Linked DNA regions of Mus musculus. The protein of the gene in region 6 purifies or fractionates together with the protein of the main gene of each other region. This does not show direct contact. Links are inferred from orthologs where the notes say so. Each region holds a gene or a part of one and is shown on either strand. Other genes may lie near its edges.

What was found.
Region 1: the proteins of Mrgbp (region 6) and Mbtd1 purify together in Homo sapiens (affinity purification with mass spectrometry; 4 studies listed by BioGRID and IntAct, counting the BioPlex papers as one, with this or other methods). This does not show direct contact. The link is inferred for Mus musculus from reciprocal best matches to the Homo sapiens genes MRGBP and MBTD1.
Region 2: the proteins of Mrgbp (region 6) and Brd8 purify together in Homo sapiens (affinity purification with mass spectrometry; 10 studies listed by BioGRID and IntAct, counting the BioPlex papers as one, with this or other methods). This does not show direct contact. The link is inferred for Mus musculus from reciprocal best matches to the Homo sapiens genes MRGBP and BRD8.
Region 3: the proteins of Mrgbp (region 6) and Meaf6 purify together in Homo sapiens (co-immunoprecipitation; 4 studies listed by BioGRID and IntAct, counting the BioPlex papers as one, with this or other methods). This does not show direct contact. The link is inferred for Mus musculus from reciprocal best matches to the Homo sapiens genes MRGBP and MEAF6.
Region 4: the proteins of Mrgbp (region 6) and Kat5 purify together in Homo sapiens (co-immunoprecipitation; 8 studies listed by BioGRID and IntAct, counting the BioPlex papers as one, with this or other methods). This does not show direct contact. The link is inferred for Mus musculus from reciprocal best matches to the Homo sapiens genes MRGBP and KAT5.
Region 5: the proteins of Mrgbp (region 6) and Trrap purify together in Homo sapiens (co-immunoprecipitation; 3 studies listed by BioGRID and IntAct, counting the BioPlex papers as one, with this or other methods). This does not show direct contact. The link is inferred for Mus musculus from reciprocal best matches to the Homo sapiens genes MRGBP and TRRAP.
Region 7: the proteins of Mrgbp (region 6) and Actl6a purify together in Homo sapiens (co-immunoprecipitation; 4 studies listed by BioGRID and IntAct, with this or other methods). This does not show direct contact. The link is inferred for Mus musculus from reciprocal best matches to the Homo sapiens genes MRGBP and ACTL6A.

The regions. Positions count from the first base shown.
Region 1 is NC_000077.6:93,884,793-93,889,153, reverse strand, and holds the start of Mbtd1 (MBT domain-containing protein 1), read right to left. Parts: upstream 2,984-4,361; 5' UTR 2,759-2,983; coding exon of another isoform or gene 2,738-2,758; exon of another isoform or gene 2,081-2,737; intron 1-2,080. Other genes in the region: Utp18 (U3 small nucleolar RNA-associated protein 18 homolog), read left to right, coding at 3,497-3,820. UniProt on the Homo sapiens protein: Chromatin reader component of the NuA4 histone acetyltransferase complex, a multiprotein complex involved in transcriptional activation of select genes principally by acetylation of nucleosomal histones H4 and H2A.
Region 2 is NC_000084.6:34,611,278-34,614,972, forward strand, and holds part of Brd8 (bromodomain-containing protein 8), read right to left. Parts: intron 3,521-3,695; coding exon 3,471-3,520; intron 3,294-3,470; coding exon 3,171-3,293; intron 2,020-3,170; coding exon 1,939-2,019; intron 1,825-1,938; coding exon 1,760-1,824; intron 1,754-1,759; exon of another isoform or gene 476-1,753; intron 214-475; exon of another isoform or gene 99-213; intron 1-98. UniProt on the Homo sapiens protein: May act as a coactivator during transcriptional activation by hormone-activated nuclear receptors (NR). Isoform 2 stimulates transcriptional activation by AR/DHTR, ESR1/NR3A1, RXRA/NR2B1 and THRB/ERBA2.
Region 3 is NC_000070.6:125,083,621-125,088,094, forward strand, and holds the start of Meaf6 (chromatin modification-related protein MEAF6), read left to right. Parts: upstream 1-1,540; 5' UTR 1,541-1,556; coding exon 1,557-1,646; intron 1,647-2,524; coding exon 2,525-2,640; intron 2,641-4,474.
Region 4 is NC_000085.6:5,607,206-5,611,696, forward strand, and holds the start of Kat5 (histone acetyltransferase KAT5), read right to left. Parts: upstream 2,890-4,491; 5' UTR 2,825-2,889; coding exon 2,813-2,824; coding exon of another isoform or gene 2,714-2,812; coding exon 2,647-2,713; intron 2,540-2,646; exon of another isoform or gene 2,327-2,539; coding exon 2,258-2,326; intron 2,168-2,257; coding exon 2,031-2,167; intron 1,780-2,030; coding exon of another isoform or gene 1,753-1,779; coding exon 1,597-1,752; intron 1,508-1,596; coding exon 1,433-1,507; intron 1,125-1,432; coding exon 1,050-1,124; intron 760-1,049; coding exon 511-759; intron 436-510; coding exon 346-435; intron 1-345. UniProt on the Homo sapiens protein: Catalytic subunit of the NuA4 histone acetyltransferase complex, a multiprotein complex involved in transcriptional activation of select genes principally by acetylation of nucleosomal histones H2A and H4.
Region 5 is NC_000071.6:144,857,879-144,860,316, reverse strand, and holds the end of Trrap (transformation/transcription domain-associated protein), read right to left. Parts: intron 1,644-2,438; coding exon 1,359-1,643; 3' UTR 539-1,358; downstream 1-538. UniProt on the Homo sapiens protein: Adapter protein, which is found in various multiprotein chromatin complexes with histone acetyltransferase activity (HAT), which gives a specific tag for epigenetic transcription activation.
Region 6 is NC_000068.7:180,579,611-180,584,028, reverse strand, and holds the start of Mrgbp (MRG/MORF4L-binding protein), read right to left. Parts: upstream 2,808-4,418; 5' UTR 2,492-2,807; exon of another isoform or gene 2,161-2,491; intron 1,419-2,160; 5' UTR 1,222-1,418; coding exon 1,074-1,221; intron 629-1,073; coding exon 507-628; intron 1-506.
Region 7 is NC_000069.6:32,707,147-32,711,460, forward strand, and holds the start of Actl6a (actin-like protein 6A), read left to right. Parts: upstream 1-1,399; 5' UTR 1,400-1,709; coding exon 1,710-1,734; intron 1,735-1,789; exon of another isoform or gene 1,790-2,196; intron 2,197-4,314.

The DNA.
Region 1 (4,361 bases), on a different chromosome or scaffold from region 6:
TTGTAAAGATAAAAAGCTGAGAAGTAATGAATTAGCAAGTCAAAACAGCTGACTTCTCCACGCTTAATACGTGGTTATTCAGATCACCTGAGGAATCCTGGCTTTCAGTCACTTCGTACTTTCAGTCACTTCATACTCTAATGACTATGACATTAACATGCTGTTTTTACTCATAAACTGCAATTCTGAGTCTGAATGCTGTATTTTAACACAATTTAAAATAATTTGCTTTGTCTTTATTTACAAAAGTAACTAAGGGATGAGGGAAACACCCAAATATCTTGGAAGACAGATAATGAGATCCATGTATAGCTAACCATAAAAAACAGAGTAATGACCTCTTTAAAAATAAAACCAGTTGTTCCTGTCTAGTATGTTTAGCATGCAAATGCTTTTAAAGTCAAATTTTATCATGACAGTTCATGCTTAAAGTTAGCAGGAAAAAACTTTGGAAGGCGATACTGACTGAAACTTTGGTGCGTAAATAGCTCTAAGTTTTTACAGCTAGGATTCAAATCCATGCTAAAACACTAGTGAATAGCCCTGAAAGAAAATGGCTAGAAACCCTGGCTCACCAGAGACATTAAGAACAGTCACTTATTTGCGACAGCATCTGCTCTAATCTGCAAGGCATTTGCAATACTTCAATATGGGCTTCCATATAAATAGAAGCTATTTGTTATTCAGAGGAGACAGTGCAAAAAGCCAGCTATTTTCTTTCTAAACACTCCTTGGTGTGAGGTAAACAGTCTGAAACACACAAGAGCAAACCACCAGCCTCTACCACAGACTGGGGAACAGGAAGACGCTTGCTTTTCTTTACCAGTATCAGGAGCAACTCCTGGGAGTTAAGCACAGCAGTGGGTGCCAATATATATTTGCAAGTTAACTACTAAGTGCTAAGTTCTGGTGCATATTAATGTAAGGGGTAAAAGATTAAAAAGTCGGGCTGTTGAGATGGCTCAGTGGATAAGAGCACCCGACTGCTCTTCCAAAGGTCTGGAGTTCAAATCCCAGCAACCACATGGTGGCTCACAACCATCCGTAAAGAGATCTGACGCCCTCTTCTGGTGTGTCTAAAGACAGCTACAGTGTACTTACATATAATAAATAAATTAAAAAAAAAGATTAAAAAGTCAAAAGTAAACAATAAATTGTAACAAACATTTCAAGTCTAAGAATTCTTACACTTACACACATGAGGGGTGGGGTGGGGGTAGGGGAAGACAGGCAGGTTCGAGCAAGTTCTTAGTAGGTTAAAGGTGTCTGCTCCCAATCTTGATGACCTGGGTTTGATTCCTGGTTCGCACATGGCATAAGTTAAGATGACTACCTCCACCTGTTCTCTGATCCCCCACCCCCACCCCCGCCCCCACCCCCCAACAGCATCCTATCCTATAAATAAATAAACGTTACAAGAAGCATTTGTGAGAAAGGGCCTTCCTTTTGGAGGGGGCATGGGTTTGCAAAGACCATGAGTCAAAATGATGAGAAGGAATAGTTTTGATCATGTATCTTCCAAGTATTGTATTTATTAGTTTCAGTACTATTCCTCCCCCAGGCCCAATTTTACGCGTTCTTAGAAAAAGTGATTTAGCAAAAGGCAAATAATGTACATTGACAGTACCAAGGATATGGTGTTAAAAATGTCCTCATCGCAAAGAGGACTACTTGTGAAACAGTCATGAAACCCCCACATAGCAGTTCCCTGGCTTCCCAGGGAATAGTTTCAACCATCTTTAGTCATGGAAGCAGCACACTTGATACCGACCCAGCAAAGTTTTCAGTTGGCCCTTACCATCTCTTTACTCTCCCCATCCCCCTCCCTCCACTTCCCTGATGTTCTTTCCTGGCATACAAAATATAGGCCAATGAGCAGTGGGTGGGTGAGGAGGATGTGAGAACAAATTTGAGAAGTAAAAAAGGGAGCAACTTAACCAGGACACGACATGAATGAGACTGAAGGGTCTAATAAGGGCAGGCAAGTGAATATCAGAGACTGAAAGAAACCGAAGGTGCTTTCCTAGGCTGCAGTGCGTGGTATATGGATGTAGGGTTAAGTAGAGGTCAGACTACCTACCACTCGTCAGAAGCTGGGCTGCTTTGGGTGACTTCTAGTGTCTCTTCCGACTCTGAAATGTCAGGATTTCTTTTTCACAAAGGAGAACGTACGGATGGTGGAAGCCCACTGACTTGGAACCCTCAAGTAGCAGCCTTGGCGGCTGACTCCCCGATACCACTCCTACGTCTCCCTCCCACACGTGCCCACCCCGCCCCCTTTCAGTATCAGCACCTCCACGTGCAAAATGCCTCTCGGCGCTGGCTCTACAATGGTGGGCTCCGTCTCCAGCCAAGCCCCGAAACTCTGTATGCTCCTGCCCCCACACCCCCGAGAAACCACTCTCCCACCCTTGGCAGCTAAAAAAGGCAAAGTCTCCTATCTAATCTTTCCCTTCAAGCAGAACGGGGTTGGGAGGGAGCAGAGGAAAAACTTTCTTATGTTTTTTTTTCTCCCTAAGAGAACCCTAAGTCAGGGGTTGAGGGGGGGAGGGGAACCCCTGAACGTTTAACGGCCAGTAGGGGGAGGGGAGCTCCGGAGACGGAGGGGGCGTGGGATGAAGAAGCAGGCCCGCGAGTGGGGTCCCCGAGCTGCGGCGTTCCGGGGGCCGGGCAGCCGCAGGCGTGCCCCCCCCCCTCAAACCTGGCACACAAAGCGGCCGCTGCGCTCGGCTCTCACCAGATCCTTTGTGTTTTCCATCAGGGCCTCATGGGTAGGGGCCGTCCGTGCTCCCCGAGCCCGCGGCGCCCCCTCCCCCCCCGCGAGCAGGGGGCCGGTGCCTCTCCCCGGGACTGCGGCGACTACAGGGGGGACCCCCGGCTGGGCCAGGGCCAGCGACAGCAGTGGCAGCCCCCGGATTTCCCCCCTTTTAACTCGGGTGGCCCCAGGATATCAACAACATTAGCATAGCCCTCCCTCCCCAGCGCGCCTGCGCCGTGACCCGCGCCCCGATTGGCCCACTTCCCCCACGTACCCTCCTCTCTCCCCTCCAGCGTGGGACCCTCGGCAGGCGCCGTACTCTAAGGACCGTACCAAGACCACAAGTCGATGAGGTAATTGAGGGCGCGCGGCACGACGCGGGGCTCAGAATCAGCAGGGCGAGAAGTTTCTTTCAGCCACTTCCATTTGGACTCCGGCCTCCCCGAGTCCCTTCCAATATGTTGCCTCCGAGAAGTTGTGTTGGGAAAAATTTCCACTCCAGTCACGCCGCTTCCCCCTCCACCCGGAAGATCGGCCTTCCCTGAGGAACTCCCACATGGGGCGGGGCCGCCGGACGGAGTGGGAGTGACGTAGCGCGCGAGCGCCGGTCACGTGGCTTGCGGCGGCGCAGACTCCTTCCGGCTCCCCGGGGCCGGGCCGAGGAGAAGAGCGAGCCGCCCCGGCACATGCGCAGTGGTACTCCACGTGAACGTCGGCGTTTTCCCCTCAGCCCTGAGGATGCCGCCCGAACGCAAGAGCCGGACGAGACGAGACCGGAGAGCCGGCGCAACGCCGGGGAGGAAAGCCAGACCCGGGAGCGGCAGCACGCCCGCAAAGGCCGCCCGTTCATCCCAACGGACACAGCCGGCCGAGCCGAGGGCGGCCCCTAGCGCGGGATCCGCGGCGGCGGCGGCAGAGGAGGAGGAGAGCCGGCTCCGGCAGCGGAACCGCCTGACGCTAGAGGACGATAAGCCGGCCGCCGAGCGTTGCCTGGAGCAGCTCGTCTTCGGCGATGTCGAGGACGACGAGGACGCGCTGCTGCAGCGGCTGCGGAGCTCGCGGGTGAGGAAGGCCTGCCTGCCTGCCCGCCTGCCTGCCTGCCGAGCGGGCACACGCTCTGGCGGGGCGCGCGGCGGGAGGCGAGGCCCCGGGGGCGGAGCCTGGAGGTGGGGGGGACCTGTGGCGGCGAGTGCTCAGGTGGGAGGGACCGGCGACCGCGGGCGCCGAGGGGCGCCGTCCGGCTCTTTCGCCTCGGGTTCTGGGCTGCTGGCTGGCGAGGGCGGGGACGCTGCCTTTCTCCGCCCCAAAGGGGCTGCGGCGCTTCGCATCCAGCAGGCGCTCAACTGTCGGCTTGGTTTGCCAAAGGATGTCTGCAAAGTAGAGTCGCTCATCTTCGGGCTCTTACACCCTCTGCTGGAACCACAGGGGTGACCGTTTGATCACCTGTCGCGACTCCGCGTAGTGGATGGAACCAATACGTGGGCAGAAGGCGTAAAGCTGCATTTTAATAACATCGCGGGGTGATACCCACGCCCAGCTTTTGAGAACGATCAGTGTGTATTCATCTCTAACCTTTCTTTGGTTGCTAGCTCTTGTAACAATT
Region 2 (3,695 bases), on a different chromosome or scaffold from region 6:
AAGCAACAGACGAAATCTTCAGGGTTAAATAAGTGAAACCAGCCACTGTTATACCCTGAAGCAGAGATTAGAAATTTTATTATTACTTTTTAGTTTAGTTTTTCAAACTCAGGGCGATTCTCACATTAAACAAATTAACTACTTAACTACTTCAAAGGTCCTTGCTGTAGCACATGGTTTACATCTCAACATCTTCTGCAGCAACTTAAGAATCTGCTTTTAGAAAGAGGAGAAGGCCTCACTGATTCTCACCATGTAGTCTGTCTTACAGTTGCTAACACCCATGTTTCCCTCCTACCTCACCACCCAAGATGAACTCTTGATCATTTGCAATTAACTCTTCATCCCATCCTCCTTTGGATTCCAATTCCAAACTCTGGGATTATAGGAAGGGGTGGGTGTGGGTGTGGGTGGTGTCTCTCACAATGTAGTCCTAGCTGGCCTGAAACCCACTATGCAAACTTGACTGACTCACAGAGATCTTCCTGCCTCAGCCTTCCGAACGCTAGCAATAACGACGTACACCTCCGCACTTGGCTCACTTCACGGCTGACCTTTTTTATTGGCCTCTGAGCTCTAGAGCCTTAATTAAGGTTAATAAGATGGTTCTTGCTGTGATGATCTAAGGTCAATTTCTGGGACCCATCTGGTGAGAGGAGAGAATGGACTTTCACAGCTTGTTCTTTGGTCTATACAGACCCACCACGTGACACGTATCTGTGCCTCCACTTCCAAACAAACAAATGTAAAAAAAAAAAAAAAAAATTGAAGGAAAAAAAAAACCTGGGTGGTGGTGGGGCACACCTTTAATCCCAGCACAAGAAATGCAGAGGCTCATTTGAGTTGGAGATCAGCCTGGTCTACAAAGTGACTGCCAGGGCTACACAGAGAAACCCTATCTTGGGGGTAGGGGTGGGAGTACTCAAAAATAAATATATGAAGAGAATAAAAATAAATAAATAAAACCTTAAATTATGTTCAGTCTGCCATTATCAAGCTTGTGAGTCCTACAAGTAAATTGGAGACCTAGGGAGTACGAAAGACCTCATTTTTCGAAGTATTTCTTCTTGAACATAAAGGATGGTTTATTCTGTTAGAAAAAGAGATAACAGGAATGATTCTTTCTCTGTAGTTGTTTGTTATGCTAGAGACTAAGACTCATGCATGCTAAGCAAGGGTTTACCCAGACACCTTATTTTATGAGACTGCTATGCATACGCACACAATAAATCTTTACATTTTTCCTGTTCACTGCCAGTTTGCTCCAGAGATTCAAAATCACTCAAACTTTAGAGAGAAGAGGAAAAGTTGTAACTGCCTTGCCTTACAGTTTAGCAGATCAGTCAGGAGCCTAAGACACTGGGCTTGATCCATGGTCTACGACTGGGAAATCATGGGACATGACAAAAATTAGTAAATGGGAAATACAAAAGATGAAAGAACTCTGATAGGGGTAGGCGCCGATCCTTGTGAAAGCTTGTTTATTTATTGCTACCTGGAGGCCTAATTTTAGCAGGCATGTACAAGGCCCTCAGCTCAATCCTTAGCAGAAAAACAAAAAGAATAATGTTTTGAGGGGAAAAAAAGAAGGGGAGGAACATGATAAACGCTGCAAGTCAACAAAACCAGTGGACTGTACATTAGAAAACAAGTGACAGCTAACTCTCCATAGAGCAGTGGTCATCACACTCCTCTAACGCTGTCATTAGCACACAGAACCACATGGTCAATGCTAACAGAAGCACTAAACTCAGCTCACCCTGGTACGCAGCATCGGTGGCCTTCCTTTTTACTTCAGCCTCTTCCTCTTCCAATTTCTTTTTCCTAAAAAAGGAAAAGAATTGAGCTACATCAGCCAGCTCGAGCTCCTCTCCATAGTTCACAACACACTCATAAAAAAGTATTCTGACACACTGGCAGAGCACAAATGGAACCTACATTGCAATGTCATTGCAGAGCTCATCCAGTCTGCTGTCCATGTGCCCGGCTTGGATTAGTTCTGCATCTCTTTTCAGACGCCTATAGAAACAAAGAGGCAGACATCAGTCCTCTTCACAGTAAGTTTCTGGGTTATTGAGACAGGGCCCTCCTCTAGTTGGGCTCAAACTTAATGAAAATTTTCTGTTTTGGTCTGCCAAATGTTGGGATTACAGGCATGAGCTACCATACTCTTTTTTTTTGTTTGTTTGTTTTTCAAGACAGGGTTCTCTGTGTAGCCCTGGGTGTCCTGGAACTCACTGTGTAGACCAGGCCTCGAACTCAGAAATCCACCTGCCTCTGCCCCCCAAGTGCTGGGATTAAAGGTGTGCGCCACCACACCCAGCGCTACCATAATCTTTTATTACTTTATTAGTGTGTGTGTGTGTGTGTGTGTGTGTGTGTGTGTGTGTGTGTACAAGTACAGGTGGACACATTTCACAGCACATGAGGTCACAGGCCATCTCCTACCACCTGGGTCCCTTCCATCTCTGCCACTGAGTTGTCTAATCACCACCTACTATAAACCACATTTAGAGCTTTTTACTTGTGGTCTCAAGTTACCGTTTCATTTCAAACTCCTGAGTAGCTGCTGTAGACATACCATGCATGCATCCAGCATTTTAACTACATTCCCCACCTTCCCTCCTTCCCTCCCTTCTTTCCTTTCCTCCCTCCCTCCCTCTCTTCTCCTCCTCCCCTTCTTTGTTTTTTTTTAGGATTTATTTATTATATGTAAGTACACTGTAGCTGTCTTCAGACACCCCAGAAGAGATTCAGTTATCATTACAGATGGTTGTGAGCCACCATGTGGTTGCTGGGATTTGAACTCAGGGCCTTTGGAAGAGCAGTTGGTGCTCTTAACCACTGAGCCATCTCTCCAGCCCTCTTTTTTGTATTTTAAAAACAAGTTTCTCTGTGTAGCCCTGACTGTCCTAGAACTCACTGAGGACCAGGCTAGTTTTGAACTTAAGAGATCTGCCTGCCTCTGCCTCCTAGGTGCTAGGATTAAAAGGGTTAAAAGGGCCACCAGAGGGTGATGGACTCTAGCTTAGTTTACAGACAGAGTTCAGGCCAGCCCAGGACTATACAGTGAGACCCTGTCACTCATAAACACCAACTTAATCTTGTATGTACCAGAAGTCAGCTTTTTATGTCTGTCCAATGCCCCTCCCAAATCACCTGATAACTACCTGTATCTCTCCTGTGTCTCCTTTATGACTTTCTTCAGTTCTTCAACTCTCTCAGCAGTCAGTTTGCGAACAATAACATCTTCAACAGTTTCTACCACTTCTCCTTTTTCACCCCGTTTCCGTCTGTGGAAAACAAAAAATAAATCCAAATTTAAGTAAGAGGACATTTGTTTCCACTTGTATTCTTTGAGCCTTTCTACCATGTAATCATAACATCTGCTATACTTTTCTCACCCAGTAAGATATATTTCCACAGTGAACCCTTCCTGACCAAACAGATGTACCTGGGTTTATACTCACTTTGGAGTCTCAGTAGTCTCTAAGAGCTCAGAATACTGAGAAGCACAATGCTATAAAAGAAAGAAAGAAAGAAAAATGTGATAAGCAAGCTCGGAAACAAACTTTCAGAGTTTCAACAAAGAGTAATAAGTCTCAGTGAGGATATCTATTCACGATTGTGTCGTTAGCTGGCCGTGGTGGGAAGCAGAGGCAAAGGATCTCTGAGTTTAAGGTTGGCCTGGTCTA
Region 3 (4,474 bases), on a different chromosome or scaffold from region 6:
CTGGTAGGTTGATCACTTTCCATTGGATGATCTCACACCTATAAATATATGGGCATCTCAAATTGGGACTCAGTCATTAAAACGGGGCAGGGGGAAAAGCTGGAGAGAGGATGGATCAGAGCTCTCCCCCAGGACCCTGGTTCAATCTCCAGCACCCACATGGCAGCTTACAACTATTCCTCCAGTCCCAGGAGGATCTGATGTCTTCTGGTCTTCTTGGGAATTGCATGCATATGGTACAGAGACATACATGCAGGCAAAACACTCATAGACATAAAAAGAAAATTTCCAAGGTCTGATTGTTATTTTTTTGAGCCTAGGCTAGCCTCAAATTCTCTGTGTAGTTGAGGCTCATCTTGATTTTTTCCCCCTCAAAACAGCTGTCCTGTCTGTCTTCGAGTCCCCTGAGTGCTGGGAATAAAGACATGTGCCACCATGCCTGGCCCTGGGAGGTTCTTCTGTGGGCCAGGCTGGCAGGAAAGGAAGAGATGCTAGACTCAAATTCAGGGATTTGTGCAAGCTTGGGCTTAGGCAGATATTTTACCAACTGAGTTTCATCTACAGCCTTGACTTTCTTTTTTGGGGGGTGGTGGTGAAACTGTCTTATATAGTCTTACTGGCCCAAATACTATGTAGTACCTTGACCTTCCTGCTTCTTTTACCGCGGCCTCTTGGGTGCTAGAATTATAGGCATGTACTACTGGAGAGGAACAAGAGATTAGTGAAGAGGTTTGTGAGAGAGAAAATTAGGCAAGAGGAGTTTTAGAAAATTGAGAATTTCTCATACCTGTTGAACAATATACATCTAGGGCATAGAAACCCAAGGACATCCACCCATGGGGGCAAAGAACGCCACCTAAACTACGAGTGACGTTGCTGAGCACTGAGAATGCAGAGGTGGGCTCAGGGTGTACCTGTAGAGTGCTTGCTTCGTCTGTCCTGAGATCCATCCCCAGCACCTATTAACAGCGGGCATGCTCAACACATGGAATCCCAGCAGTGGGAAGGCAGAGGCAGGACGATAAACTCACGGTCTGTTTCTGTTCAATACCAGCCTGGATACAGTTCTGGATCTGAAGATAGAAGCTAATTCTTTCATAATCCTTCCCCTCCGGCAAACCACGTACAACAGGAGATCTGCTTGCCTGTGCTAAACCCAGCAAGATGTTGGTTTGGGGATCTTCTCTGCAACCCGGTTGGTGGGCGGAACCTTGCTCAGGTTTTCCACCTGCAGTTGGGTGGTGTTGCAAGGACCTCGTCTGCCGGGAGACATATGGAATACTCAACAGGCCTATGCTGCAGCTGGGTTCTCGATGTAGTGAATGTCTGTGGGTGTCTGTTAAGCTCAGAGGCCCACAGTGGAGCAGCAAGGAAGGTCCCACACGTACAAGCGCCTCTCCGCGCCGGCTTTCGCGCGCTGAGCCGGCCAGCTTCCCCGGAAGCCGCGCGCGCAGGCGCGGTGTGGGGGGTCGCGCCCCCTGGCGGCCAGCGGCGACAGTGCGCAGGGTCCGCCTACTGGTCGCGCGCCGCCGCCTCCGCCGCCGCTTGAGCCCAACATGGCGATGCACAACAAGACGGCGCCGCCGCAGATCCCAGACACCCGGCGGGAGCTGGCCGAGCTGGTTAAGCGGAAGCAGGAGCTGGCGGTGAGTGGCCGAGGCCTGGACGCCGTCCCCACTTGGCCTCGCAGGCAGCTCCGGAGGCGAGGACGGCGGGCAGCCAGGGTCTGGGCGCTCTGGGCGGCCGGGCGCGGCGCGGTTCCCTGCGGCGGCGCGGTTCCCGGCCTGCGCTCAGTGGGGCGGGGCGGGGCGGTGAGGGCGCGGGAAGGGCGAGAGGCAGGAGGCGGGGACGACGCTCAGGTCGGGTTAGCGGTTGGAAAGGAGGCGGCTAGACCCCGGCCTGGAGAAGATGCACGATGGATTCCATGGGCGGCGCGTTTCAATGGCCGGGGAATGTGGTGTATTTGAGGATGCCAAGGAACGGGGCTGGCGGGAGACCCAAGACGCAGCCTAGGGAATTTGGATTGGTGACGCGCACCAGGAGCCGCCGGCACCCTGCTGACTGCCCTGTAGGCTCCCGCCTTTTACGGCGAGCATCCGGGAGGCAAAGCTCACCTGAAGCTGCCCTTCCAGGTTTCCATAGCAACCGGCATCCACTGCGGGCGGCCCTTCCAGAGCTAGCAGGGAGGAAGCAGTTGATGTAGAAGAGATGCTTTTGAAAAGCTGTTCACCCTTCTCGCTGCTGGTAGCAACACATTTAGTGAGTGAGAATGGAGACAGCTCACGGTCTGTCTCATCCCTGCTCGTGACAGCTAGGTTTTGCCTCTGAAGTAGATGCAAAATCTTGCATGTGTGTGCATTTTCTGAGGATAGACTATACATTTCATTCTATTTATAAAGGGGTCCATCACCCCTACACTTCCACAGAAATGGTTCATTGTGGGTAAGCTTGACTTTACAAGTCTGTGACGGAATTTCAGTTTGCTTAATGCTTGTTTTTCCCTGTCCCTGTTTTCATCACCTAGGAAACACTTGCAAACTTGGAGAGACAGATATATGCTTTTGAAGGAAGCTACCTGGAAGACACTCAGATGTATGGCAATATTATCCGTGGCTGGGATCGGTATTTGACCAATCAAAAGTGAGTGTCAAAATCTAGTAGTATTAGCTGAGCACTGGTGGTGCACGCCTTTAATCCCAGCACTTGGGAAGCAGAGGCAGGTAGATTTCTGAGTTCGAGGCCAGCCTGGTCAACAGAGTAAGTTCCAGGACAGCCAGGGCTATACAGAGAAACCCTGTCTGGAAGAAAAAAAAATCTAATAGTATCTCTCCATTTTATCCTCTACTAATATTTGGCTGCAGGATTTTTGTTTTGATTTAAAACATGGTCTTACTATGTAGCCCTGGTTAGCCTGGAACTCACTAAGTAAAGCAGGCTGGCCTCGGATTCACAGATCACATAGCTCTTTCTCCCTCTGACTTCTGACTGATAGATTTAAAGGTATGGACTGTCATGTCCAGCTTGGGACATTTGCTTTTGGCATTTACTCTGCAAGGAGATGGTAGAGCCGTAGTGTGGAATGGGGTCTAAGCTTGAACTTGTACTCTGACGGCTCACGGAGAAACCTTGGGGAAGCCAGTATTTGTGATGAAAGAAAATAGGGCCCATGGTGCAGGGATGTGTGGGTGTAAGTGAAGTACAGCCTGTGACCGAACTGTCTTCCACATTTTCATCAGCCACGCTGTGCCATTACGATCTTTGTTCTACCTCCAAGTTCATTGTTACCACTGTCAGCTCAGTCATGCGATTGTATAAAAATGCCTACGCTTGTGAGGAATTTTTCAAATCTGTAGGAAAACTGAGATGAGAATGTGCATGACCAGTTAGTGTTTTTCCCATGTATTCATGAGTTGCTAACTCACTGTGGGTGCATGCTCTCTCTGAAGTACGAAAACTTCTCTGTGTGCTTAAGAACCTTTTGTTTGGAAATAATTTACAGATGGCGATAGAAAGCTGTACAAACAATAGACATGGCTTGTGTGTGCTTACGTAGTTTTCTCTGATGGTTACGTTTTACGTAACTATAGAGTATCATCAAAATCAGGAAATCAAGATTGGCTGTGTGGGGGTGGGGGTGGGGGTGGGTATGGCATTTTAACGTATGTGTATAACTACAGGATGTGAAACCAGGCCCAGGAGATATTGCTCGGTGAGTAAAGGCGCTTGGTGTACAAGCCTGATGACCGGAGCTCAGTTCCCAGAACCTGTGTTAAAAGGCACAACTGGCAACAGGAGAGATGGCTCAGCAGTTAAGAGCACACACTGCTCTGGCAGAGGACAGGAGTTCGACTCCCAGCATCACTGTTAGGTGCCTTACAGCTACCTGTAACGGAGCCCCAGGGGATTAGACTCTGTCTACTGAACTTTTGGACCATCCCCCACCCCCACCCCCACCCCTGCCATTTAACACACATGTGTAAATGCACGTCTGGAATTTTAGCATATGTGGTGGGATTTGGGGACAGGAGAATCGCTCACTTGGGAAGTTTGCAGGACAGCCTGAACTATGTAGTGCTGTCCAAATAACCAGATTGCCTCTGTCTCAACAAGGTAGAAAGCAAGGGCCACTGGTGGAAAGCTGCCCTCTGATTAGTGTGTGTATAAAGATGCAGACCCATTCCGCCGTCACAGGGTCTCCTCCCTGCTCCTCCTCTGTGGTTACATTGCTGTTTGCCCGTGCTTTCTCTCCCTGCTAACCATTGAAGAGTTAGGCGCTTACACCACGAATCTCTGCCTCTAAATATATTATCAGTTACTTCCTGAGAAGAGCAAGGCATCTCTGCATATAACTCGGATGCTTATAGCTTAAACATTAACACGGATTCCTTCAGATTCCCTTGGTTGGCCCCACAATGCTTTGCTACTCTTTTTTTGATCCTGGATCCAGTGGCTTTCGGCAGTTATGTCTCATTAA
Region 4 (4,491 bases), on a different chromosome or scaffold from region 6:
GGCTTGCAACTCATTAGTCCCCTGACTACTCTTGAACTCGGGAGTTTTCTGAGTGCTGGGATTATAGGCACACACACCTCCAAGCTCTGATGACAGCTTCCTGTGAACTGTGCTGAACCCCCTCTGTTACTGGAACCTGAGTAGCTGTCATGTCTGCTCTGCCGTGACAGTGACCTCTCAGGAAAGAAAATTTCTCTAAATCCCAGTTTTCTGTACATTCCCTGCTCCGTGTCAAGAATTCAATAAAAACAGTGACCTGCTCATAGGCAGAATGGTCAACTGTTCTGAGCAGGAAAAGGTTGTTCATGTGACTCACTCCAGCCCAGCCGTGCCCAAGCCACTAACCTTGTTTTTCCGTCCATCAATCTCAAAAAAGGAGATGGTGCCCTTGCGGTAAATTTCATTGCCTGGAGGGTGCCGAAGATCACATTTGGTCTAAGGACAAAAGGAGGATCAGGTGGGGACTGGTGAGGGTACTCTGGATAGGCAGCCTCCCAAGACCCCTCATACCAAGTGGCGTTGCAGACACTTGAGGCTACGGCCATATTTGAGGCAAAATTCGCACAGGTAGAGGACGGGTAGCGTGGTAAGCTCTTGTGGGTACGGGGAGAAGTACCACGGCTTGAGGCGGTGCCGGCCAAGCTCAATACACTCAATGTTCTTCATCCGGGTGACAATGTCGTCGTGGCTCCGGTCAGACACCAGACTGCCAGTCATTCGTGGTGCTGACGGTATTCCATCTGAGCTGTCCTGAGAATCCTGCCCAAGGCAGATGGCAAATACTAGATGGTAGCAGTTAAGCAGAGCGTGGCGCACGACACTGCCATTGGCTTCTTCCTGCAAGTCTAACATCAGCTAAGGGCAAAGCACCAACCTCCACTTCCAAAATAAAGCGAGGCTGAGAAACTGAGAGTAGAAGAGGCCCAGGGGTTCATCTGCTTGGCTCCCAGCCACCACCCTCCCTGCCTAAGGCCTCACCGAGTGAACACCATGCCCAAGCCCACTCCCCCTTTCCCGGCTTCCCTCTCCCTCTGCTCCTCAAGACCCACCTCATCAGTGCCCAAGCAATTAGATTTCCGCTTCCGTCCAGGCTGGGCTGCCACTGCCCTACGGGCTGACCCATTCTGTGGACAAGACACAAGAGAAAGAGCGACCGTGAGATGATCCTGGAGGAGGATGCTAGACAGCAAGGAATAAGAGGGGAAAGACCAGGCAGGCTGTTGGGATGGCTCAGTGGTTAAGAGCCCTGATCTTCCAGAGGACTTCCTGGGTTCTTTTCCCAGGACCCACAGAGTGGCTCACAACCATCTCTAACTCCAGTTTCAGTGGCTCCAATGCCCTCTTCTGCCCACCTGCACCAGGCATGCAAGTAGAACACATGCAAAACACAGACAAAACATTCAGACACATGAAAAAAGACTGGAAGACTCACCTGAGGGAAAACCGAGGCTGGGGCTGTCTCGCTGGGCACTGGGGTTGCTGGTGAAACCACCTCCACCTTCCGTTTCTGCAGAGAGAAACCAGGAAAGGTGGGTCAGAAGGTAGAGAAGGTGGGACCTGAGAAGAAAGCAAGGTCCCTGGAATTGCTGAGGGTACCGTTGAGCGGTGGTTGGGTTGCAGGCAGGAGCTGGAGGAGAGCGGCTGGTCAGGCTCGCCACCTGGGATGGCCTCCCGCTCCTTGGGCAGGTTGAAGCGGAGTGTGATCTGGACCGGGATTGGCAAGGTCTTCCCGCTGGCCTGGGCGGAGGCCGGCTGCAGAGATAGGTCCAGGGTCTTCCTCTGGGGTGGGGATGGTGGTGGGATGGCGAAGGGGGGGATGGGCCCCTCAGCATGGAATCCCACCCTCTGCCTTCTCTAAAGCAAGGCAGTGCTGGACTCTGGAAGCTACGCCTGCAACTTGGTCCCCATCCTTTGCAAGCTGAAGCCATGGCAGAAGAATGCTGCCTCCTGCCCATTCAGGAACCCCTGAGGCCAAGAGATGCAAGAAGGAAGAGGCAGGAGAGAAAAGATGAAATGGGGGACCTACTCACCACCTCTCTTTCGGGAGAGCCGGGGCGGGACCCAGGAAGTCCGTTCTTGGTAGGTGTCTTGGCCTCTTTCTTGGGAAATTGGATCTTCTTTAAGTCCAGCCGCTCGTGAGTCACCCATTCATCCAGACGTTTGTTGACTGCAGCAGTGAAAACGGCTCAGGAGGGAATGCCAGAGGCTGCCCTCAACCCTCTCCAGCAACCCCACTCCATCCAGGCCCAGGACTCACAGTCAATGTAATGGACATAGAAAAGCTTTCGGCCACTGATGTCCTTCACGCTCAGGATCTCAGCCAGGGCTATGAGAACCACACAGACAGGGAGTCTTAGCCAGGGCAGGTCAGGAGACTCCACCCTTCGACCTGAATCCCACCTCCAGGCTGGAGGCCTGTGTCCCAGCACTCAGAGGGGCTGGTTCAAGACCCCTTTAGTCACCAAGTGACACCTCTCTCCAAGCCCCGCCCGGATCATCTCCGTACGTCCAAAAGCCACGCCCCTCCTCCCGAGTATCTGCGACCGCCCCGGGATTGCAGAAGCCCCTCCCCCTCCCGTGCGATCGTTGACTCCCTCCCGCCCCTCGCCCTCAGGTTCCTTGGACCCGCCCCCCGACGTCACTCACGCCACTCATCTTCGTTGTCCTGGTTGCGCCGCAGCACGGGCAGGCGGCAGCCCTCGATTATCTCCCCCTGGGGAGACAGCGCGGCGCCAGGGTCGGCTACTGGGGGGCCTCGGGCTCTACCCACCTCCCCTGGCTCCCTCCGCCCCGCCCCGGGCACCGGACTCACCACCTCCGCCATCTTCCCTCCCTCCACTGCCACTTCCGGCCCCTCTGGGAGACGTCACTTCCGGAGCTGAGTGCGCTATAGGCCCGAGCCCCTTGAAGCTGTTTGAAAGGGAAACACTTGAGAATCACTGCTAGCTGGTTGGTAGCAAAAAGCCGGCCCGTTTGGGGAATGGAAGAGCAGGACGTTGTAAACCTGAGGCCAAGTACTAGATGGAATCCCCGCTCCTCGCACAGCGATTGGAGGAACGCCGAGTCTGTCACGTGACGCCCACCGGGTGCGACGCCGGTCACTCAGATCATGTTTAGGCTTTGTCTAGAGGCAGTGTTCTGGCGAGCCTCTTAGTGGCAGTGTGAGGTGTCACCCTGAGTAAGAAGCTAAGGAGTGGGGTTTTGAACCCTGGGGAGTCAGTAGACCTGAAGGGATTTAGAGATCCACCCAGGTGTCTGCATAAGATTGCACAGGCCTGGGGGCTTAGCAAGATTTTTCCGTTAATACTGGATTTCTATTTTTAAAATAGTATATATGTGGCTGTATACATGGAAGGTTCAAAATTCCAGTAGGCATTCAGTCAACAAGAATGGATGTCTCAGTTGGTCTTCATTATACATCAGAATCCCAAAGAAGTAGGCGCTAATGACAGTGAAGGAGCGGACTTGTCAACGAGAGTGAGAGCAAGTAGGCAGAGTAAAAGCAGGCTGGCAGTGGAGGCAGAAGCAGGCGAAGCTCTATGAGTTGAGGCCAGCGTTGTCTACAGAGTCAGTTCCAGGACAAGCGGGGTTACACAGATAAGCCCTGTCCTGGGGGTGGCAGGGAGGAAAATCTTGTTTCATGTCTTTCTTTTAGTTTCCAGCAGAAGGTGCATCTTCTGACTTTGAATAACAAGAATAGGTTTGAATAACAAAGGTGTGTTCTCCCTCCTCAAAGATGTGAATTCAAAGTGGATCTTCCACCAAGCCAGCTTGCCAGCACTGGGGAGGCAGAGGCAGGCCTGGTCTACAGAGCAAGTTCCAAGACACCCAGGGCTACACTGAGAAATCCTCTTAAAAACACAAAGCAGTGGGTTTTCCCACTTCAGAGTAGGCAAAATTGTTCACGTATGTGTTCTTCCATTTTTGGGTTTTAGTGAAATCCAGATGTAGTCAAATGGACAACCAAAAATAACTATCACAGATATTGATAACATGCCTAAAGGGTGTAGTGGGGCCCTTTAGCCTTACTTCTAAGTGTTCCCAGTTTAAATGGTTTCGGGTCCATTTGGCCACTTTGAGAAGAGTTTATGTGCAGAAGTAAAGGATTGGTTTCATCACAGGAGCATTAATAATAACACTTGGATTTGATCTGTGTGCAAAATATGTTCAGCATAAGAAGTACTGAAAAGCCAATAGGCCTTTTGTTATTGTTTGTTCTGAGGTGAAGTCTCACTGTGTAGCCCTGCTTGGCCTGGGACTTGTCACAAGGATGACAACAGGCATATGACAGCACACGGCATTTTTCTCTCTTGTGAGTTCTGAGTTGTGCCATCTTTCAGAACATCCAGTCTTCCCCTGAGGAACTGAAGCATCACCACTGTTACTCACAACAGCCTCACAGGGGTGGAGCCATTGCTGCTTCCTTGCTTTGGCTCCGTGAGGCTTTTTTTTTTTTAATTTATGTATTTTATTTTATTTATTTATGTCTGT
Region 5 (2,438 bases), on a different chromosome or scaffold from region 6:
AGGGGGAAGCAGATGAGACGCCAGGGCCAAGAAGGGGTTGTGATCCATGCTGTGTGTAAGCAGCTGTGGCGAGCCCTGTAGAAGGTTGGTACCTGCCAAAGGCACACTTCCTTTAGGCTTAGACGGAGCTCCACATCCTGTGTCAGGCCGATGTCACAGTCACACGTTTACAACGTCTCAGATCCACCTGTACTTTGATTCACACTGTTTTCCCAGGGTTAAGACATAGACACTGGGCCAGCCTCGCCTCCCACAGGCTCCTCATACATGCTTAGTCAGTAGGACGAAGAGGGTTGTGCTCACCGCCAAGGCAGGACGGCCGTTCCCATCACCGAGGCTTTACATGGGCTGGTCTGCTTCTGACCCTGGGAGCCAAGACCTCACCGACCTGTGACCGTGGGCCACCACACCTTCACAGGCAGCCAGCACCATCATCTGAAAGCCACACCCTACTCTGTCCAGGAGGGGCCAGCAGGTGCTGAACTGGAAGAGGCGCCACACGGACACAGACGCTAACACAAAAATAGGGCACAGCAAATACTTTTATAAAATATTTATTCTAAAAAAAAAAAAACCACACTGTACAAATTTAGCTAGAACATTCTCAATGCTCAGATTTATAAAAATGTCAACATAACCATCTAAAGGGGACAAACTTTCACTGCTTTCTTTTTAAATTAGGAAGGAAAAACAAAATGATTTTGTCTTTTTTTTTTCTTCTTTCTGGTACAATGATAGTAAATCTCTAAAAGATATCCAACAAGCCGGCAGTAAAAAGAGAAAGGCTGGCCCGCTGGCCTCACAGCTTCGTTCTGCACAGCTGCATCGGATCTGACTGATGAGGCCTGGAGCAGCTTCCCCTGCAGGCCCTGGGCTCGCTGAGCCTCATCATCAGACTTGGCGAGATGTCCACACCAGTGACAGAGTGAGATCTGTGCTCAGAGATGCACGCCTGTCGAACTGATCCTGCTTCCTGCTTCTCTAACACTGTGGATTCCCTAGACCCGGTATGACAGTGAGCAGCCACTCTGAGGTGTAGTTTCTGGAAGTTGGGGGATGGAGGGGACGTTCTCAGTCTGCACTTCACACTGAGACAGGAGTACACAGGGAGTCCCAGTTCAGGGCTCCTCAAGTTAAAAGGCATCTCGGAAGCTGCTGAGTTCAGCTCTGCCATCGCCAACGGCCTGGCCTACTGTGTGCAGGGGCTCCCTCCAGGACTAATCTCATGCTCTTCCACACACAAACTACTGGGAAGGTAACTGAATAAAGTGGGGAACAAGGCAGAGAGAGGTCTCAACAGCCAGGGGCTCAGAGGCTGAGAGGCACATTTCACATTCTGGGTAGGGTGGTCACCGAGGTCACAGCCATGGATGCCAGGCAGGGTCCATGCGACAGAGGTTGTCCAGGCTGTTGGCAGCGGCCACCAGGGTGTTCACCTTGCTCTCCCCACCATCGAATTGGGCCAAGTTGTGCAGGCGGGTCATGATGGCAGTGACGGCTTTCTGAACTAAGGAAACCAGCTGCTGGCTGTCCATGTTCTCAGGCTGCCCTGCGGCCGACAGTGGAGAGGAAGTGTCCTCCTGTGTCTTTTTGTGCCAAGCAATGATCTCATCCCGGAGCACAGTTTTCAGAACGCCGTCCACCTGCGCAGAGGAGAGGGCGAGATAGCTGTGTCACCGGAGGTGCTGAGCCGTCAGGGCCAGGCCAGACCTAGGGACTGCACAAAGCTCTGCTCTCTGGTACAATGTCAGGAGCATCAGATGAGAAGCCACTGAAACGTAGCCGGTGTCCTGGGCCCAGTGAGGACACCAGCGTCGGCAGGCTTCAATGCTGTGTCCTCTCACTGTGCTCAGGGCAGAGGTGCTGAAGGCATCGTGGTAAGGCAGTGAGTGGAGGACAAATAAATGCAGCCCCAGCTTGGCTTGAGCTACACACACAGCTCCCCAACAACCCTGGAAACTCTCACTCTGTGGTAAACCGTCCCGGAACATATCTGGGGAATTAGGGACACTAGGCCGATCTGGTCTGGATTAGACTGGTTTTAGATGTATGTACAGTAAGACAAACTGTCCTCTGAATTAACAGCCAGGAGAAGAAATGCCCTATTTACCATCTGGCATTTGTGAGCAGTCAACCTACGCTTATAAAACTCAAGACTGTCAATCAAAACAAAACCCCACCTCTGTCCCACCCTTAGGAACCAACTCCTCCTCCTGACACTCCCAGCATGCGCCCCGCCCCATACCCGCACTTTACCTCGAATACCCTTGCTATTTGCCTGCTCATCAGTTATTTATTGATTTTTAAATATTTTAGATTAATTTTATTTTTTGCATATGGATGTTTCTGGAGAACCTTTCTGTATATCACCTATGTGCCCACTGCCCACATAAGTTAGAAGAGGGCATCAGATCCCCTGGAACTAGAGTTCCAGATGT
Region 6 (4,418 bases):
AAGACAGACAAACCTGACTAGCAAGGTTACTAGTTACCTGCAGAACCATCAGCCACTGCCAGCTCTCCAAACCAGTTACCTAGCTACCCATCAAGACACAGCTATCTCTAGGCTCTCTGAAGAGGAGGAGTCTGGCTCCCACAGTATACAGACTCTCAAACGACTCTGGACCCTCCTATACTGACGCTGTACCATTACTGCTTTTTACGGTGGCTGAAGGCTTCTTTGTCATCTCAGACCTCAACTATCACCTCGACGATTTTTGTGCCACCCAATCTAAAGTAGGTAGGTGCCCTGAAAAAGTAGTCAGAGATCATCGCTAGTCTGTGCTTTTCACAACAGGACTTAAGCTTTTCTGAGGAAGGAGCCTCATCCTTTGAGATCACCTCTGCTCTGCATACCAAACCCCAAGTGAGAAGAGGGTTCTGTCCTGTACCACAGCTGACAGGATCTGGGACTTGACTCCACGGTCAGCCCGTAAATGGGCAGGCCAGGATCCAACTCACCAGTGCCTGCATGTCGTACATAGTGCTCAGATGGTCCCAGATCACCTTGGATGGAACCTGGCGCCCAATATTCTGGCTGAACTTGTCTCGGATACAAATCATGTGGAAGTGCCGATTCACCCCTGAGAGGTAGGACAGTGGGTTGAGGGTTAGGACAGCACCTCTGTGCGTAGGACATGGGTGAAGAAGGAGGGGCAGGAGTGGGCAAACCCGCAGGTGCAAGTGTTGCAGGAGTCACATGTCAAAGGGGAAGAGAGGTGCCACAAGGCAGGTGGGTGTTCCAGGGGCTAGGGTGTGTATAGTAGGCGGGTCCAAGGACAGGGGGCTGCAGAGGTGGGGGGGTGGGGGGGAATGGAGGCGTTCCCTGGGGTAGGAGTGTCTCAAGGGCAGGGAAGTCAGGAGTGTCCCCAGGGAGAGGGCTTCTCGGGCAGGAAAGTCATAGGCTCTTAGACTAGTAGGGCACCCCAGAGTGGGAGGCCACGTCCCGTGGGAGGTCGCAGGCTCCGCCAGCCCGCCCGACGGTTTATCCCGCCCCACCCCCACGCCGGTGCGCGGCGCGGCGCTCACCGACAGGCTTGTGGCCCAGCATGGCGTGGAAGAGGCACACTTCCACCTCAGGGCTCCACACCACCGTCTCCTCAGCAGGGCTCGGGGCTGCCTCGCCTGGGCCCTTGTCGCCTGGGGCGCCCGTGCCGCCCACCTCGGCCTCCCCCATGGCCGCCGGCGATTGACGAGCGCCCGGCGCGAGAAGGGGGAAAATACTACAGGCTCCGCGCAGGCGCACTTGGTGTGGAGGGCGCGCACTCGCCGGGCTGGAGAACGCCGCGTGCCCGCGTCCGCGCAGGCGCAGCGAAGACTGGCTTCCGGTGCAGCAGCGACTCCTGGTGGTTGAACCTTTTACTGCCTACGGCTCTGTCCGGAGAAGGCGAGGGAACAAACCTTATGCTTTAAAAATGCACCAGATGGGCGTGGTGACACACTCCTGTAATTCTAGCTCTCGGGAGAGAGAGGCAGGAGTTCTGAGTCAGCCAAGTCTGCATAGCATGACACACACGGCCCAAAAATCTGGGCTTCACCTGGTTAGGTAATTTGGAAAAGAACTCAGCTAGAAGTGAAGGTGTGTCTCTCCTTGCCAGAGATAAATTGTACAATATGTAAATTACATCTCACTAAAACTGTTTAAGAAAAATAGTTTAAACAACAACAGCAGCAACAACAATAACAACAACAACATCCCATGGGCTAGTGAGATGGCCCATCTAATAGAGATCCTTGTGCACAGCCCATAACTGGAACTCCACCCCTGGATCCTAGAGCTGGCAGGAGAGGAGCAATTCTTAGGAGTTGTACTCTAGAGCTGGAGACATGGCTCAGCGGTTAAGAGCACTGACTGCTCTACCAGAAGTCCTGAGTTCAATTCCCAGCAACCACATGGTGGCTCACAATCATCTGTAATGGGTTCTGATGCCCTCTTCTGGTGTGTCTGAAGATAGCTACAGCATAGTCATATAAATAAAATAAGTAAAAAAAAAAAAAAAAGTTGTATTCTAACCTCTATATGTATTCCATGGTATATGCACACTTGCACACACACACCATAAATAATTTAAAAATTTAAAGCCCAACAATCACATTTTGTAGGAGTGAAGCTCTGTATATCTTTCAGTAGCCCTGACCTGAGTGCACGACAGTCCCAGAATTAAGTGCTTCCTTGGCATCAGAAGACAGAAATCCAGGTCCTGTCGGCCTTGCTACCTACCTGTACCTCCATTCTGTCCCTACAGTGGATCCACTCCAGAAGTGGTTGGATGATTAACTCAGACTGTCAGAATTTCAGGCAGGTGTTAGTAGCTCTACATGGGATTGGATAGGGCCAAGGGCTGGGCACAGCAGCCTTAAGAACATGGTTGCTTCTGGGCCTGAGTCACCCCAGTCAGCTGTGCCATGGGTCCTACCCTGCCACCCATCCAGGTTTCATTACTTACCCATTCCTCAGCCATTGCCAGGCATCAGAATCCCTTTTCTGACTGATGCCTCTCAGACTAAGATGTTGAGAACCTTTGTTCTCCTTTGTGCTATGGGGCCACTGTAGCTCTGAACTCTTGGGTCTTGATAAGGATCACTTGCTGGCTGCCACAAGCCTTGAATCCAGTCCTGACACTCCACTTGCCCCTCATTCAGGCCTGTAACCAGACAATGCTCACAGCAGGGAACCATGGAGGGTGCTGGCTCTGACCTGTCTCATTGTCTGGGACAGCTCAGAGCTCAGAGCCAGACAGCAGTCTGTGGCCAGGCTTCAGCTTTCCCACTGTGAAAGCGTAGCTGGTGGAAAAGTTCCCACAATGCCACAGGGGAGGTGTGGCCCAATAAAGCTTCATAAGGGGGTGTGGGGTCACTGCTATCATGTGGATATGATGCAGCTGGGAGTTATGATCTCACAGGGGCGGTGCCCTTGCCTCTGCTTGGTTGGCATGCAGAACTTGGCTTAGTTACTGTACGGCTGGGTGAAGCATAATCTACCATCTGGGACATGTCATAAAGCAAGTTCCCAACCTAAGAGCTGCCACATATTAAGTGCCCAGGAGCTGATTGATAATATCCTGGTTATTCTCTGAATATCTAAGGCATGGTAGACTCTGCTGCTGACTGCTTCTGGTTCCGGTCCACCTTAGTCTCACCCCTACCAGGTAGGATACTCCTTCAATTTGGAGTGCGTCCTTCTTCAGGGAGCTTCCCTATGTAACCCTCAACCTCATCTATCCTAGCTGGTCCTCTCTGGTTTGTGCGATCTCTGTACTCAGACCACATCCTACCAGCCATGACATTTGCAAACATCCGTCTGTTACTTCAGAACGCGTGACTGGCAATATAGACTTGATGCCTATAGACAGGTTGGATGGTTTAGGAGAGAAGGATGACTTCATTCTTTCTCTCCACGAAGCCACAGCAGGTCTCTGCAGAACTCTCTGTTAGGTAGTAGGAAGTAGCTGAGCATCAAGGTCAGCAGCTAAGACCCCGCCTACTATCCCACGCTAACTTCTTATTTTCATGAACATGTAGGCTCTCTAGTCCAAAAGCATGAATTAAGAGGAAGCTGTGCTTGTTCGTTTTGTAGCGCTCCTGTGATTATCACTCTCTAACAAGGAGCTGTAGAGAAACCATTAGCCCATGATCATGTGTGTGATCCCGTAGCTTCAAAGTGAATTCACACCTGTTGGGAGCTGAGAGGTTCCTTCAAACCTGATAGAAGGATTTCTTTGGTCTGGAGCAGGTGTCTGTGTGGCACACCACCAACTTTCTGTAGAAATGGCTGGTGAAGTTTGCCCAGATTTGTCTTCTCCGTGAGGTCTTCAGGTGGTTCCAGGTGGCCAGGATATAATCAGCTTTGTAGCAAGACTCCTTACTTCCCAGATACAAAGTAGACAATGATATATATCTACTAGCCAACTGGTCAAGTCCTTTCTCATTTGTTGCGACTCCTGCTGCTTAAGTCTTTTATACAAGATAGATACAAGTGCTGGGATTCTTGATCCTAGTGTGAAGGGTTCAGACTGGGCTCAGGTGAGAAATAAAGGCCATAGAAATGCTCTCCTTCATTTAATGAATATACAAGCCTAATAGTTTATACACCAGTCTAGTTTACTTTGACCAGTGTGAACTATTCCCCAGACCATGTCTAGGTCTCAACCAACTGTTATTTCTTATTCAAGGTCTTATGTATCCCAGGTTGGCCTCAAACTCATTCTGTGGCCAAAGATTACCTTGAACTTCAGTCCCCATTCCTCTACCTCCTAAGTGCTAGGGTAGCAGATATCTGCTGGTATATATCCTGGGGATTGAACCCAGGGCTTCATACATGCCAGGGAAGAACCCTACCAACTGAGGTGCATCTCCAGCCTCCTAAATGGCATT
Region 7 (4,314 bases), on a different chromosome or scaffold from region 6:
CAGCACTGAGGCAGGCTGTGTTAGGTGTTGCATACATTGAGAAGTAAGCAACCCCTCCCACAGGTCACTTGGCAGTAATGTGCTCTACATCTTAACCAGACACATCACCTCAGGCACAGCTGTGAATAAGCTTGGCTATGCTCCAGTAAAACACAGCACAAGGTTTCTGACATGGGAGTATCATAGTATTCTTAAAACTGTTTTTGAATCATTTAAAATGTAGTAATACACACACGGTGGCATGTGCCTATAATTCCAGTACAAGGAGGCAGAGGCAGGAGGATTACAACTTGGAGACTAGCCTGGCCTACACAGTGAGACTTTCTCTCAAAAAACCCAAATCCAAACCATCACTGTCAGCTCACAGCACACAGTGTCAAGTGAACGGGAGAGCATTTTCTTACTAGCGTTATTCCTGAACCTATGACAGACAGGTCAATTCCTGCCACCTTAATGGCAGGGAAATGGATGAGAGTTTATTCAACCCACCTAAGGTTACAAGTAGCCACTATGTAGCTAGACCCTAGACACTTCAATTTAAGCACTGCTACCAGGTACAGAGCTACATTACACTTGAGCTTTGGAATGGCAGGACTGGTTTGGGCCTTTGGTTATATAGATCAGGCTATCTAAGGCCTAGAGAAGCAGAGGGACAAATTGTTGCAGTAATTTGGGGTAAGAAAAGACAGTGTTCTGGGCGACACTGATAGAGATGTAGACTAAGAACAGTAGACACGGATTGGGGAGGTATTTACAAATGGGTGCTTCCTTGAATAGTGCTCCACTTGCTTGGTGAATGATTTTCACAGAAATGAAAGAAACTGAAGTCATGATTTTTAAATGCTATCTAAATCTAGCTGGAAAAATGTACTGTCTTTTAATATAAATAGCCATTGTTTAAAATGATGGATCCTATTATTATATCTGATTTGCTGATTAATTCAAAGTGAAGTGCACATTTCTTTTTCAAGTATAAATGTTAGTTGAAGTATTTCTGCTTAAAAAAAAAAAAATTCCGAATTCATCACAATCAAAGGCCAGGGATCTCTCCCAGGTAACTAACTCAAGTTCCAGATTCCTTGCACTCAAGTTCCTTTGGCTCCTGGGGAGCAGCCATCCTTTAGAACCAGAGCGGTTGATGGCCTGAGGCAAGCCTCTTAATTCCCAGTACCTAATTAACTCACTCTCGAAACCCGGCCCACTCCTGCACCAAGCCCCTCCCACTCGCCCGCCCACCTAAGACTCCTCCTACTCTATTCGCGCGCGAAGCACAGCTCCACCCACTCCCCCCGCCTTGCTCCTGGAAGCTCGGTCCACCCTACCGGCCGCTCGCGAAGCTCCACCCACCTCACCCGCCCGCGAAGCTCCGCCCCCTCCTGCCCGTACCCCAACACCTTCCCTTCTTCTGTCGCTTCTCCCTCTCCCTGCCCCTACGGATGCCTTCCATTGGCTAAGACGGCTAAACCGCGCGGGGATGCAGCAGCGCCACACTCTGATTGGCTAATGACTAAGCCGGACCCTTTGTCATTGGTTGATACGAGAAACCAGCAAGAGTGGCTGTGCAGCGGGCGTGCGGCCGCTGCTTTGTTGCCGGAGGGGGCGGCGTTGGAAGTTGCAGGCTTGCGGGGCCGGCGTTCTCAGGGAGAGGAGTCACGCCGCTGTTATCTTTCGTCCGGTAGTCTTCGGCCAGTCCCCGCCAGACAGTAGCCATGAGCGGCGGCGTGTACGGCGGAGGTGAGTGAGCGCAGCGGCGCCTCGGGGCGTGCGGACCGGAACGACCGGCCTGGTCCCTAGTCGCTTCCGTTTCCCTCCGGTCCTCGGCGGGCCCTTCCGGTCTTTGGACGGTGCTTCCGGTCCCCGTATGGGCCACGGCCTCTCCTTCTCTTCGGACCCGGGCCGGCGCGCAATAGGTTTCCGGCTTGTCCCGTCGCTGCTCCGAGATGGCCTCAAGGAAGGGCCTTGGCGCGTCTTACCGGCTGGGCTCTGATGGCAGTCCCTGGCACGCCGGGTCCCTCACTGTACCGGTTCCGCCGCGCGTTGGTCCCGGGCAGCTCGCGGAGGTTCCGGGCCCCCGGGGTTGGCACTGGGTGCGAGTGGCGCCCGGTGTTGCGGCTGCTGCTCTGGGTCCTTCAGCAGCCACTACAGCCTGGACATCGTTCCAGGCGTGCTCGGTCCCCAGATGAGCGGATCCCTGAGGTACAGGCTGCAGTTCTCCTGTCCGGCTGGGCGGGAGCCTTTTCTAGATCGGCGATAACGAAAACAAGGCTTCTAAGTACTGTTTTGTTTAAGAGTAGTTACCTAGTTAGAGACTCTCCTCTAGGGGGGATGTTGACAGGAGATGGTGCTGCCATCCCTCACGTTAACGAAGAAAAAAATATTGGCAAGAGTTAAACAACCAGCTCAAAGTTTAAAGACTCGTTGTAAATTGGGAGCAAATTGCTTCTGGGATGAGGCAGGGGTATTCCTTTCTCTGCCGTGTACAGGTAACACGCACCCATCAAGAGTTAAATAGTATCCTCACACTAACAAATCTATATCTGCATTGAGTCAGTAGATCTGTGCCCACTCATTTTAACTGCTGTGTAGGGTTTTCTGAGAATAAACTATAGTAGTTTCTCTAGGAACGGTAGTCTTTTCCCTGGCAAGAAGTGTGACAGTAATAATTACCGTTAGCTAATATTTATCGGCTTATTGTTTGTCAGCACTGTAAGTGCTTTATACATTAAAACATTCAAGGCATTTAGTCATCCTATCCTATGAGGTAAGTATTAAATACATTTTTCGGATTAAACTGTAGCAGAGAAGTTAGTAAATTACCCATCTCACATAGTGTATTAGTCATTTTTCAGTTGCTGTGATTAAAAAAAAAAAAAAAACCAAGAAACAAAAAAACAAAATCAGCTTCTAGAAGAAAGAGTTTACTTTAGCTTATGATTCCAGAGAGGTAAGAGTCCAGTTTGAGAGAGGTATGGCAGCTAACAGCAGGCATGATGGTGGGGCAGGAATCTGGGCTCACGTGTCCAACCTCAAGCATGAAGCAGCTGGAAATAGTGGGGGCTTTAAACTCAAAGCCTGTCCCCCAGTGACAGCTTCCTACATCAAGGCCCACATCTTCTAAACCTCCATAAACAGCACCACCAACTGGGGCCCAGATGTTTAAATATCAGCGTCTATAGGAGACATTTTCATTCAAACAGTTGCATATGCATCTCCTTTTAAACTAGGAATTTCTCCAAACTGGGTATGTCTAAACTAAATAGCTCTGTGATTCTCTTTGGGTGCCTCTTTGTAACTAGCACCAAACTGGGTAGATTGGGCATAGATTGGCTTTAACTAGAGAAACAGAAGAACTTTTAAGGCCTTAGCATTTGAGTAATGTAGGTAAGTAGGATTAGTGTTTTAAATTTTGAGGGGGACCCCATTGAAAAACCAGTACTGAGAAACCCAAGTGCATTATCCTAGGAGGCCTGCTGTTTGGGGTGAAGTATTTGGAAAATATACATGGAGGCTTTTCTCTAAATTAGACTGAAAAAGATTGCCAGCTTTTTTCTTACCACTAAACTGTCTCCTAAAGTCTGGAATGTGTAACTTAAATGATACGTTCATTAAATGCTTTTTACTTGGCCTGTATAAATTACACTCTAATTTCCATGCTGTGCAGTTTTCATATTTTGCTGTGTTTCTTCATTTCATGAAACAAAACATAATTCCCCATAATTGATGAAATTGTACTAGGATGTATTCGGTGGTTTTTATTTTTCTTTCCTTTGTTTGTTTGTTTGATTTGTTTTGTGCCACCAGATTCCCTTGCTGTCATTTATACACATCTTGTGCCTGTAGAGATGGCCTCTGGGCTTTCTCAGCCTCTGGTTTCAGCTTTGAACTTTGATTTGGTGATGGTAGGGTAACTATACTTTTTGCCTGTGCTTTTTGTTTTAGTATAATCGTTAAAAGCTGGTGTTCCCCACCCAAGTTAAAATGCCCCAATTTGGATGCTGCATTATAGAGTCTTCCTGGGATTGCAATCTGAGCTTGGCCCTCCCTCCCTGAATAGGCAGCTTAGCTCTGCATCATTCAGCTGTTACCACAGCTCTCAGCAGAAACCTTCTAGGTTCTGGGAACAGTTTCTTCTTGTTTCCTCAGTTTAAGGATTATGAGGGCAGTCCTTTGTTCATCCTTCTGTACCTGGACTATAGAAGTTTATAATTAGTTCCTTTAGTAAGGAAACTACTACCTGCTGTCAGTGTACCATGGCTTTCCTGATTAAACCTCCATTGATAAAACAGTATGACTTGCCATATTTTAATTAAATAC